Macaca mulatta: one gene and its partner. The protein of the gene in region 1 purifies or fractionates together with the protein of each later gene. This does not show direct contact. Links are inferred from orthologs where the notes say so. Each region holds a gene or a part of one and is shown in the gene's direction. Other genes may lie near its edges.

Region 1 (4,270 bases):
CAGATTCATATTTTTTCTTTCTACATTTCTCTTGTAAGGCAGTTCTGTTGATTGCCAGTAATCTAGATGAGTTTATGCTGTTATGCTCTGAATCCCAGTGTGATGTGACGAAAGCACTGCTATTTTTTACCAAACATTCACAATAAAAAGAGAAATGTACCTATATTTAAGATGTATCATGAGAATTACTACGTTAAATGGTCCAAGGCTCTTTCGGCCGAAAATTAAAGCTTCACAGTTAACCCCTATTTATATACCAAATCATGCTTTTTAAAAACAATTTTATGCGCTTCACTAATTTCTAACAAAGATTTTCCGATTCTGTTGCAAACAATATGTCAGCTAAACCACTATGTCCTATGCCTTTTATAAGATGGTACTTTTTTAGGCCGAACTCTATTCTTATTCCTCTGGACACAGGAGTTGTAATCATGTCTTACTCTGCAAATCTAGCCGTAGGTGGTGTCTTAAAAAGGACTTTTTCTTCCTTCGAGGAAGTGGTCAAGCTTCCCCCCAGCCCCCACCCGTGTCATCCTGGAAACAACTTGGTTGTTTTTCGGTGCTATCTAATTAAGCGATGTAGGAGAAAGAAGTTGAGGAGACAAAAAAGCCTATTGATTACATTGTACTTGCTTCTCTACCTCGCTCTTCAAAGGACTAAGGTTCCTTTGACCTCGACTGAGTTCATTTCCACCCTGCCTACAAAGTACTGGTTTAAAAAAAAAAAAAAAAATCCAAGCCAAGTATGCTCTTGTCTATGAACAATACTTCTTGTCCAGTTTTATTACATTTTCTTTGAAAATTCGTTAGATTATGCTCAACAATCGGCCGCTTGCCCAACCGGTTTCTCCCTTCCCCCATCTCTCTTCACACATCACTTTTTCCTCCTCCCATCCAGGCAGTTGGTAAAACGCTGCAGTGCCAGTAACGCACGCTTTGGGGTGGTCACTGCAGTTTATCCTTACTTGGCTTTGCAAACTCCCCACCCAGGCCTTGTCCCCTCGCGCCCCACTCTGCCATTATCTTTCCAGTAGAGTGTGCTCGGTAAGGGGCTCCAGATAGCACGTCGAGGGTATACGGCAGCCTGCCTACCAATAGGAGCCCACAATGAAGAGAAGTCAGGTTCAGCCGGCCGGCAGCTCCAGTATCTCCTTCCCCTAACTCTACACCTACTGTACCCGGGAGCGAGCGAGCAAGGGAGGGAGCGAGCGCGGCGCGGCGCGGCGCGGCGCTGGAGGGGGCGCGCAGGGAGGGCGGACAGCAGCCGCGGCCTGCGCTTGCGCATTGGGGTTGTTTTTCACAAAGCTGCTCTTAAAGTGAGCTGGCAGCCTTTAGCCGCCCGTCTTTGTAAGGAGACCACTGAGACGAGCGGGAGCGCGGAGCAGCAGCTTCTGCTGCCCTGACTTTTTAAGAAATCTCAATGAACTATTTGTAGAGAATCACTGATCCGGCCTGCAAGCATTTTGCACGGCAAAAATATCGATCAGTGTTAAGTGAAGATCACATTTTATATGCGATCTTGACTTTTTTGTCTTACATTATATTTTTATAGATTTTGTTATAAACATGGTGCTGGGAAAGGTGAAGAGTTTGACAATAAGCTTTGACTGTCTTAATGACAGCAATGTCCCTGTGTATTCTAGTGGGGATACTGTCTCAGGAAGGGTAAATTTAGAAGTTACTGGGGAAATCAGAGTAAAATCTCTTAAAATTCATGCAAGAGGGCATGCGAAAGTACGCTGGACTGAATCTAGAAACGCCGGCTCCAATACTGCCTATACACAGAATTACACTGAAGAAGTAGAATATTTCAACCATAAAGACATCTTAATTGGGCACGAAAGAGGTAAGTTTTTCTGTTATTCAGAAGTCATTGGACTCATTTTCTTTGGAAACGTACCTTTTCAGTTTTCTGAATTAACGTGATTCTACTCATAGTATAACTAAGCAGTTTGATAAAGGTTAGCAAAGTTGGAAGGTTTGGATTCCCCTTGACGTTCATCGTGTGTTAAGCCGTAATGCATGCAGGCATCTGCAAAGTGACTGCAAACTACACTTATTCAACTACCTCTATACCCGGCTTGGTCTGTGCCATACGCGCTTGTAGTCCATTTGCACCTTATAAATTCTGCTTGAATCCAATGCAATCGTTTTACTAATATATTTTCAAATGAATTGCTAAAAGCTGCAGTCTTAGATTTTTGCCCTTTTACTTGCAACCTAAGATGTAAAAACTAAACTTCAATCAAGAAATGTAATAACATTTTTAAGAGGCTTAATGGGCGTGTTTCATTTTTAATTTTGGAATGCAAAAGACTTTAAAGAATTGATCACTGTGCTTTCATAAAAGGTTTATGTGGCTTATTTTGACATATGGTATCAACACCCCACGTGTTTTTTCTCTATTCTTTCCCATTCCTTTAAAAATTTACACCCAGCATTCCTTATTTTAAAGGGTACTGTCTGTCATTATGATAGGTATCGAGTCAGTTTTAGAAGCCATTTAGGATCAGTAATTTTCTTTTCCGAGCATCATGTCTAACTTTGGAACGTGCATTCAATGAAACCCATGCCAGTCAAATGGAATTGAAAAGTATAGGGCACACTGGATTTGATTTTTGGTTAGAAGAGGGAGATAAAGGGTTGTCAAAGGGAGAAGGAGTCCTGAGATTTCCAATCTATTGTTTAAATGGTTACATTGTGGAAATATAGGAGAGTCTAGGCTTGTTTTTCTAAGTTTCCACCCTTTGTTAGAAGCGGTTCAATCCTGTTTCGGACCAGTTCTGGGGGGTGGTGAGGAGGGGCGCTTGTTCTGCTCTCAGCAGATTGGTTACACGCGTCAGGTGGTGGCGATGACTTAATTCCTAGCCCAAGAAGAATATAATGTTAAAACTGGTTATGTAATTTTTGTGCCTCTCCTTTTTAATGCAGTATTTAGTTCAGATGTTGGCGATTTTTCAGAAAAAAATTAGAGCCATATTTTACCTTCTTTTTTATATTAAAAACGTACATCCTGGAGAGGTGCTGATGACTGAACTAAGGCAAGTGAGAAATGAAGGATGCTTTGAGGGGCAGTATTAATGCATGATTTCTGAAACTATTAAGGTGAACTCAGTTCTTTAGTAGGATTTTCGTAGATACAGGTACTTTGCATCCTGAAATAACTAATTAATGTCTCCAAGCGTTAACACTGATAGGAGATGCAGATGCCTAATGACAGTCTTGGTATTTGTTGAAAAGCAGATAGATGAGTTTGTGTTTCTACCTTTCTGAATATTGCAGCCTTTTATGAAATGGGTGAAAGAAACAGATTTTTCTTCAAGAGGTTGAGACTTGCAATGGGGGAAAAGTAGAACAATGAGTTGTGAGGACAAATATTTCATTAGTTACACCATGATTTCATGGTAAAGAAAACTAAATGCCCTGCACCCCCAACAAAATGCCCCCCCCCCCAAACCCTGCAACGCGTAGACGAGCTCAGTCTGGAATAGTTTCAATGACTTGAAACTGGGAGCTCTCAAACTAGCCTGGTAACTGAGACCCCGCCCCGGGCGCCCGGGATAGGCGGAGCCAGGTTTGTTAGCCTGTTGCTAAGGCGATGGCAGGCGCTGATTGGATTGGGCGCGGGCGGGTGGGGAGAGGGGGCTCGCGCCGCTGCTGGGGCGAGGCTAGGAAACCGGCGTGCGCCGGTAAAGGTCCCTCCAGAGAGCCACCCCCACCCAGTCCATACTCACGTTTGTTCCCGGGCTTCTGGGGGCGCCCGGCCCGTGTCACATCACGTTCTATCGCCCCTCTTTTGGGCCTGCTAAGGACCATCGAAAGGAAACGACTTCAGGCTTTAGCTGAGTTGAGGGCAGACGCTCCTGCCGGCCTTACAGGTGCCGGATGGCCCGGGACCCAACTTTAGTGGAAAATCCTTTTCAGATGGAATTTGGATGGGAAGGGTTGGCAGGACCCCCGTTAGCTATCTGCCGGGTAGGAGGTGTCAGGGGACTCCTGTGAACGCTTCTGAAACAAAGCGTGTTCCCCGACCTCTCCAGTAGCCACACTGGCTACCTTGAGTTGACCTGAGGGGACAGAGCAGAGGCTGGCCCGGGGAAGAAAGAAAATGATTCCAATATCGAAATCTAGGTGGGGGCTTCGAAGGGTATCCTCTGCCCCCTCCCCCATTGTTTTCCGAAAGCTTCAGGCCCCCGCCTCCCCTCGGCCGCCCCAGTTTCCCTCGCGGAAACTAAAGGTGTCAGAGTGGCCCAAGCCAGATCGAACCGGT
Region 2 (4,599 bases), on another chromosome or scaffold:
GTGATCCACCCGCCTTGGCCTCCCAGAGTGCTGGGATTACAGGAGTGAGCCACCGCGCCCAGCTTAGATTTAATCATTTTAACCATGTATGCAGTTGTAAGTGATAGTGAGACCTAAGAGTTTGGCTCTCAGGGGAGAGGATGGGACTTGAAGTATAGGTTATCTGTTTTTTCTACTCTGTTTTATGCTGTTTTTAAAATTGTACAAGTCAACAATGATACATGTTTCACTTCTAGAACTTCAAACAATACATACAAAACTGCAGTTCCCTGTGACCACCTACTTGAGTACACAGGTGCCCTCCTCCTCAATGGAATGTATACTTTTTCTGTGTTTATTTATAAGTATTTGTACTCATAGGAGTATATAGTGTTTTAGTTTGCAAAAATAATATCATACTGTACATACTGATGGGGTGATCATTTTGTGATCCACCCCACCCCAACTCATGTATGCTATTCTGCAACTTTAAAGATGTTCTTGGGATCTTTCAATTTCAGTCATTAATAAGTTACTTATTTTGATACCTGCATAGTAATCTGTTCTGTGGTATGAATATGTGATTTATTTAACATATGCCAATTGATAATATAGGTTGCTTCTAATTTTTTGATATTATGCAAATAGCAATTTTTATTCTTTTCAAGAATTTAAAATGCTTGGTGAATTTTAGTTATGTAAAACTAGTATGTATATGTACATAAATTATTGAAATTACTAGCATGTTTTTGGCAGAGCACCTCACAATTCTACCATAATGATTCTCTGTAATTATCTGGAGAGTCATTGTTCTTAAAAATATTTGCAGGCTATGCTTTCATTAATCTTTTCTACATGAAGTTAATTTTAGTTTTTAAAATATACTTCATTTTTGTAGAGATCTAAAATTTTTTGCGACTTTGTAATTAATGTAAATTTATATTTAGAATAGTTTATACTGTACTATTAGAAAGGGCATTTTCTTGCAATAAATCGTTAGTGGAGATGAGTGACTGTTGATGGAGATGAGTACCTTTATCATGCAGAATATCAGCACCTAGATATTGGACTTTTCTCACTGCCCCTTAATTTACTTTTTTTGATATTGTCGTTCTATGGCAAACAGGCTTTTGGATATTGAGGAGGGAGTAATACGTGTACATAATGTGTTATAATGTCTTTGAGGACCCTTCTCATAACAAGCCATTTGAATCAGAATAATATCTTGTGCAATATGGTGTTAAAAGGCTTTTAGGTTACATCTCATTTCTTAATATATTATGGATGACTACTAATGACTTTATGCTGTTTACCTTTCATTTTTAAAATAAAAGGGTTCTTTTAGCAGATTTTGTTTATAAAACATCTCATTTGAAATAGTGCAATTTAAATAAACAAGGTAAAGGAAAAAATATATGTATTATGCCAAGAAAATGAGCTAGTCCCTATGGTTGAGACCAAATTTTAGCTTCGAGCATTTTTGTATGTAAGCACAGAATGAGGTAGGTTGGATTTTATAGGGTTCATCTCAGTAGGAATTAATTATTGTTCCATTTCATTTTTGCAGAAATGAGAAGCCATCATAATTGTTTTATATTTAAATTTTTAAACGGAAACCTAAATTTGCATAAAAACTCAAGACAGCGTTTACAGTTTCAAGGCATTTTGTTTGCCTTATTGTATTTGTGTACTTCTTACAAAAGTACCTGGCAAACAGTAAGTGCCAAGTATATTTAGTTTAATTTTATTTTTTATTGTATCTTATTTCTTCTTTTTTGAGGTAGGGTCTTCCTCTGTTGCCCAGGCTGGAGTACAGTGGTGTGATCACAGCTCACTGCGGACTTACCTCCTGGGTCGGGAGTGGTGGTGTGCACCAGTGGTCCCAGCAACTCAGGAGGCTGAAGCAGAAGGACCCCCCAGCCCGGGAGGCGCTCCAGAACACCCCAGCTTGGGTGACAGAGTGAGAGTTTTTCCCAAAAAATAAATAAGTAAATAAAGTTGCTTGGGACATGTTATATAGATGATATTTAAAGCTATCTGGATAGGTAATATCCTCCAGGTTATAATCATCTGTACCCCATTGCTTGATGGGGTGATCATTTTGTGATCCACCCCACCCCGACTCATGCATGCTAATAGTTATGTATGCCTTTTCTCAAATTTATCTGCCTGCCTTTTGTCAGATGATTTTCAGTGAACCTTCACTGGGCGCAAAGGGGAAGTCTTGTCTTGGCCCCTGTAGTACTAACAAGCATTGTCAGATTTTGCCAATAAGTTAGGTAGGATAAAGACTAGAATTGAAAATTGTGTTTAGCAATGTAAAGGCCTTTGTTACACTGTCTTCAGTAATAGCCAGGTTAGCACTATTTACGTACGTTTTTAATGGGAATTTTTGATGTTTACACTGCCTCCTTTGCCATGTTCAGGTTTTCCAACCTATTGGTGGTATGTCTGACAGTGGATCACAACTTGGTTCAATGGGTAGCCTCACCATGAAATCACAGCTTCAGATCACTGGTAAGTTTTAGAAACATCGGCAGCTTTATTTTTCCCCATGTGATTAAAAAATAATCCTGAGAGGGCCGGGCATGGTGGCCCATGACTGTAATCCCAGCACTTTGGGAGGCTGAGGTGGGCGGGTCGCTTGAGGCCAGGAGTTTGACATCAGCCAGGCCAACATGGAGAATACAAAATTAGTTGGGCGTAGTGGTGCACGCCTGCTGTCCCAGCTACTTCGGAGGCTGAGGCATGAGAATCGCTTGACCTTGGGAAGTGGAGGTTGCAATGAACCGAGATTGCGCCACTGCACCCCAGCCTGGGTGATAGGGTGAGACTCTCAAAAAAAAAAAATCTTAAGAGAACAAAATATTTAATGGCTGTTACATGTCAGGTGCTCAATTAATATTTGCTGAATGAATGAATGAAGACATACAGATAGTAATTTTTATTGTAGAATATTCTTGGATATTTTACAGTTTTTTTTCCTTGAACATGGGCACCTGGGTAGTTGCTTATTTTGTTTGTTTTGTATTGTATTAACAGCTTTATTGAGATATAATTCATATCCCCTACAGGTTACCCATTTATTGGGATTACACGCCTGTAATCCCAGTACTTTGGGAGATCCAGGTGGGCGGATCACCTGAGGTCAGGAGTTTGAGACCAGCCTGGCCAACATGGTGAAACCCCGTCTCTGTTAAACATAAAAAAAATTAGCTGCACGTGGTGGTGCATACCTGTAATCCCAGCTACTTGGGAGGCTGAGACAGGAGAATCGCTTGAACCTAGGAGGCAGAGGTTGCAGTGAGTCGAGATCATGCCATTGCACTCCAGCCTGGGCGACAGAGCGAGATTCCATCTCAAAAAAAAAAAAAAGACTTCAGTCTTTATATTCCTGCTATATAAGTTTAGTTATTGAAAACTCAAGGAAGGAACAAAGGTAATTGTAATTGTTTCCTTCTTTGGTGGATCTGGACTTAGGCAGATAAGAGAACTTCAGAAAACAACTTCATGCTGTACTTTGAGAGAAAGAAGATTGAGGGAGGGATGCTGCAGGGGTCAGAGAGATCTTGAGAGACTCCTTTAGTTCAACGAGTCAAAGCACCATATTTTGGGATATCAGTTTCTGAACCCCAAAAGTACATTCACAGAGTTGTGCAACCATCACCACAATCAACTTTAAAATATTTTTGGCCGGGTGCGGTGGCTCAAGCCTGTAATCCCAGCACTTTGGGAGGCTGAGACGGGCGGATCACGAGGTCAGGAGATCGAGACCATCCTGGCTAACCCGGTGAAACCCCGTCTCTACTAAAAAATACAAAAAAAAAAAAAAAAAAAAAAACTAGCCGGGCGAGCTGGCAGGCGCCTGTAGTCCCAGCTACTTGGGAGGCTGAGGCAGGAGAATGGCATAAACCCAGGAAGCAGAGCTTGCAGTGAGCTGAGATCCGGCCACTGCACTCCAGCCTGGACGACAGAGCGAGACTCCGTCTCAAAAATATATATATATATTTTTTTGTCCTTCCAGAAAGAAGCCCTGTACTCATTAGCAGTCACTCTCCATTTAACCCATCCACCCACAAACCCAGGCAACTCCTGATCTTTCTGTCTCTAGATTTCCCTATTCTGGATCTTGCATATAAATGGAATTGTACAATGTGTGGCCTTTTGTGTCTTCTTTGAGCAGACTGTTTTCAAGGTTCATCCTTGTTGTAGCATGTAGCATTACTTAATTCCTTTTTTTGCTAAATAATATTTTATTGTATGAGTATACCAAATTTTAAAAATCCATTCTTCAGTTGAGGGATGTTTGGGTTGTTTCTACTTTTTGGATATTATGAAAAATGCTATAAACATTTGTGAACAAGTTTTTGTGAGAATGTATGTTTTCAGTTTTCTTGGGTATATACCTAAGAGTGAAATTCCTAGGTTATATGGAATCCATGTTTATTAGCATTTTGAGGAATTCCGAATTATTATTATTATTTTCTTTTTTTTTTCTTTTTGAGACAGAGTTTTGCTCTTTTGCCCAGGTTGGAGTGCAGTGGCGTGATCTCGGCTCACTGCAACCTCCGCCTCCTGGGTTCAGGTGAGTCTTGTGCCTCAGCCTTCTGAGTAGCTGGA

Evidence for each region.
Region 2: the proteins of ARRDC3 (region 1) and ITCH purify together in Homo sapiens (co-immunoprecipitation; 5 studies listed by BioGRID and IntAct, counting the BioPlex papers as one, with this or other methods). This does not show direct contact. The link is inferred for Macaca mulatta from reciprocal best matches to the Homo sapiens genes ARRDC3 and ITCH.

Annotation. Positions count from the first base shown.
Region 1 is NC_133411.1:97,758,044-97,762,313, reverse strand, and holds the start of ARRDC3 (arrestin domain-containing protein 3), read left to right. Parts: upstream 1-1,351; 5' UTR 1,352-1,566; coding exon 1,567-1,846; intron 1,847-3,734; exon of another isoform or gene 3,735-4,270. UniProt on the Homo sapiens protein: Adapter protein that plays a role in regulating cell-surface expression of adrenergic receptors and probably also other G protein-coupled receptors.
Region 2 is NC_133415.1:87,186,458-87,191,056, forward strand, and holds the start of ITCH (E3 ubiquitin-protein ligase Itchy homolog), read left to right. Parts: upstream 1-1,548; coding exon 1,549-1,695; intron 1,696-1,759; exon of another isoform or gene 1,760-1,783; coding exon 1,784-1,939; intron 1,940-2,405; coding exon 2,406-2,496; intron 2,497-4,599. UniProt on the Homo sapiens protein: Acts as an Acts as an E3 ubiquitin-protein ligase which accepts ubiquitin from an E2 ubiquitin-conjugating enzyme in the form of a thioester and then directly transfers the ubiquitin to targeted substrates.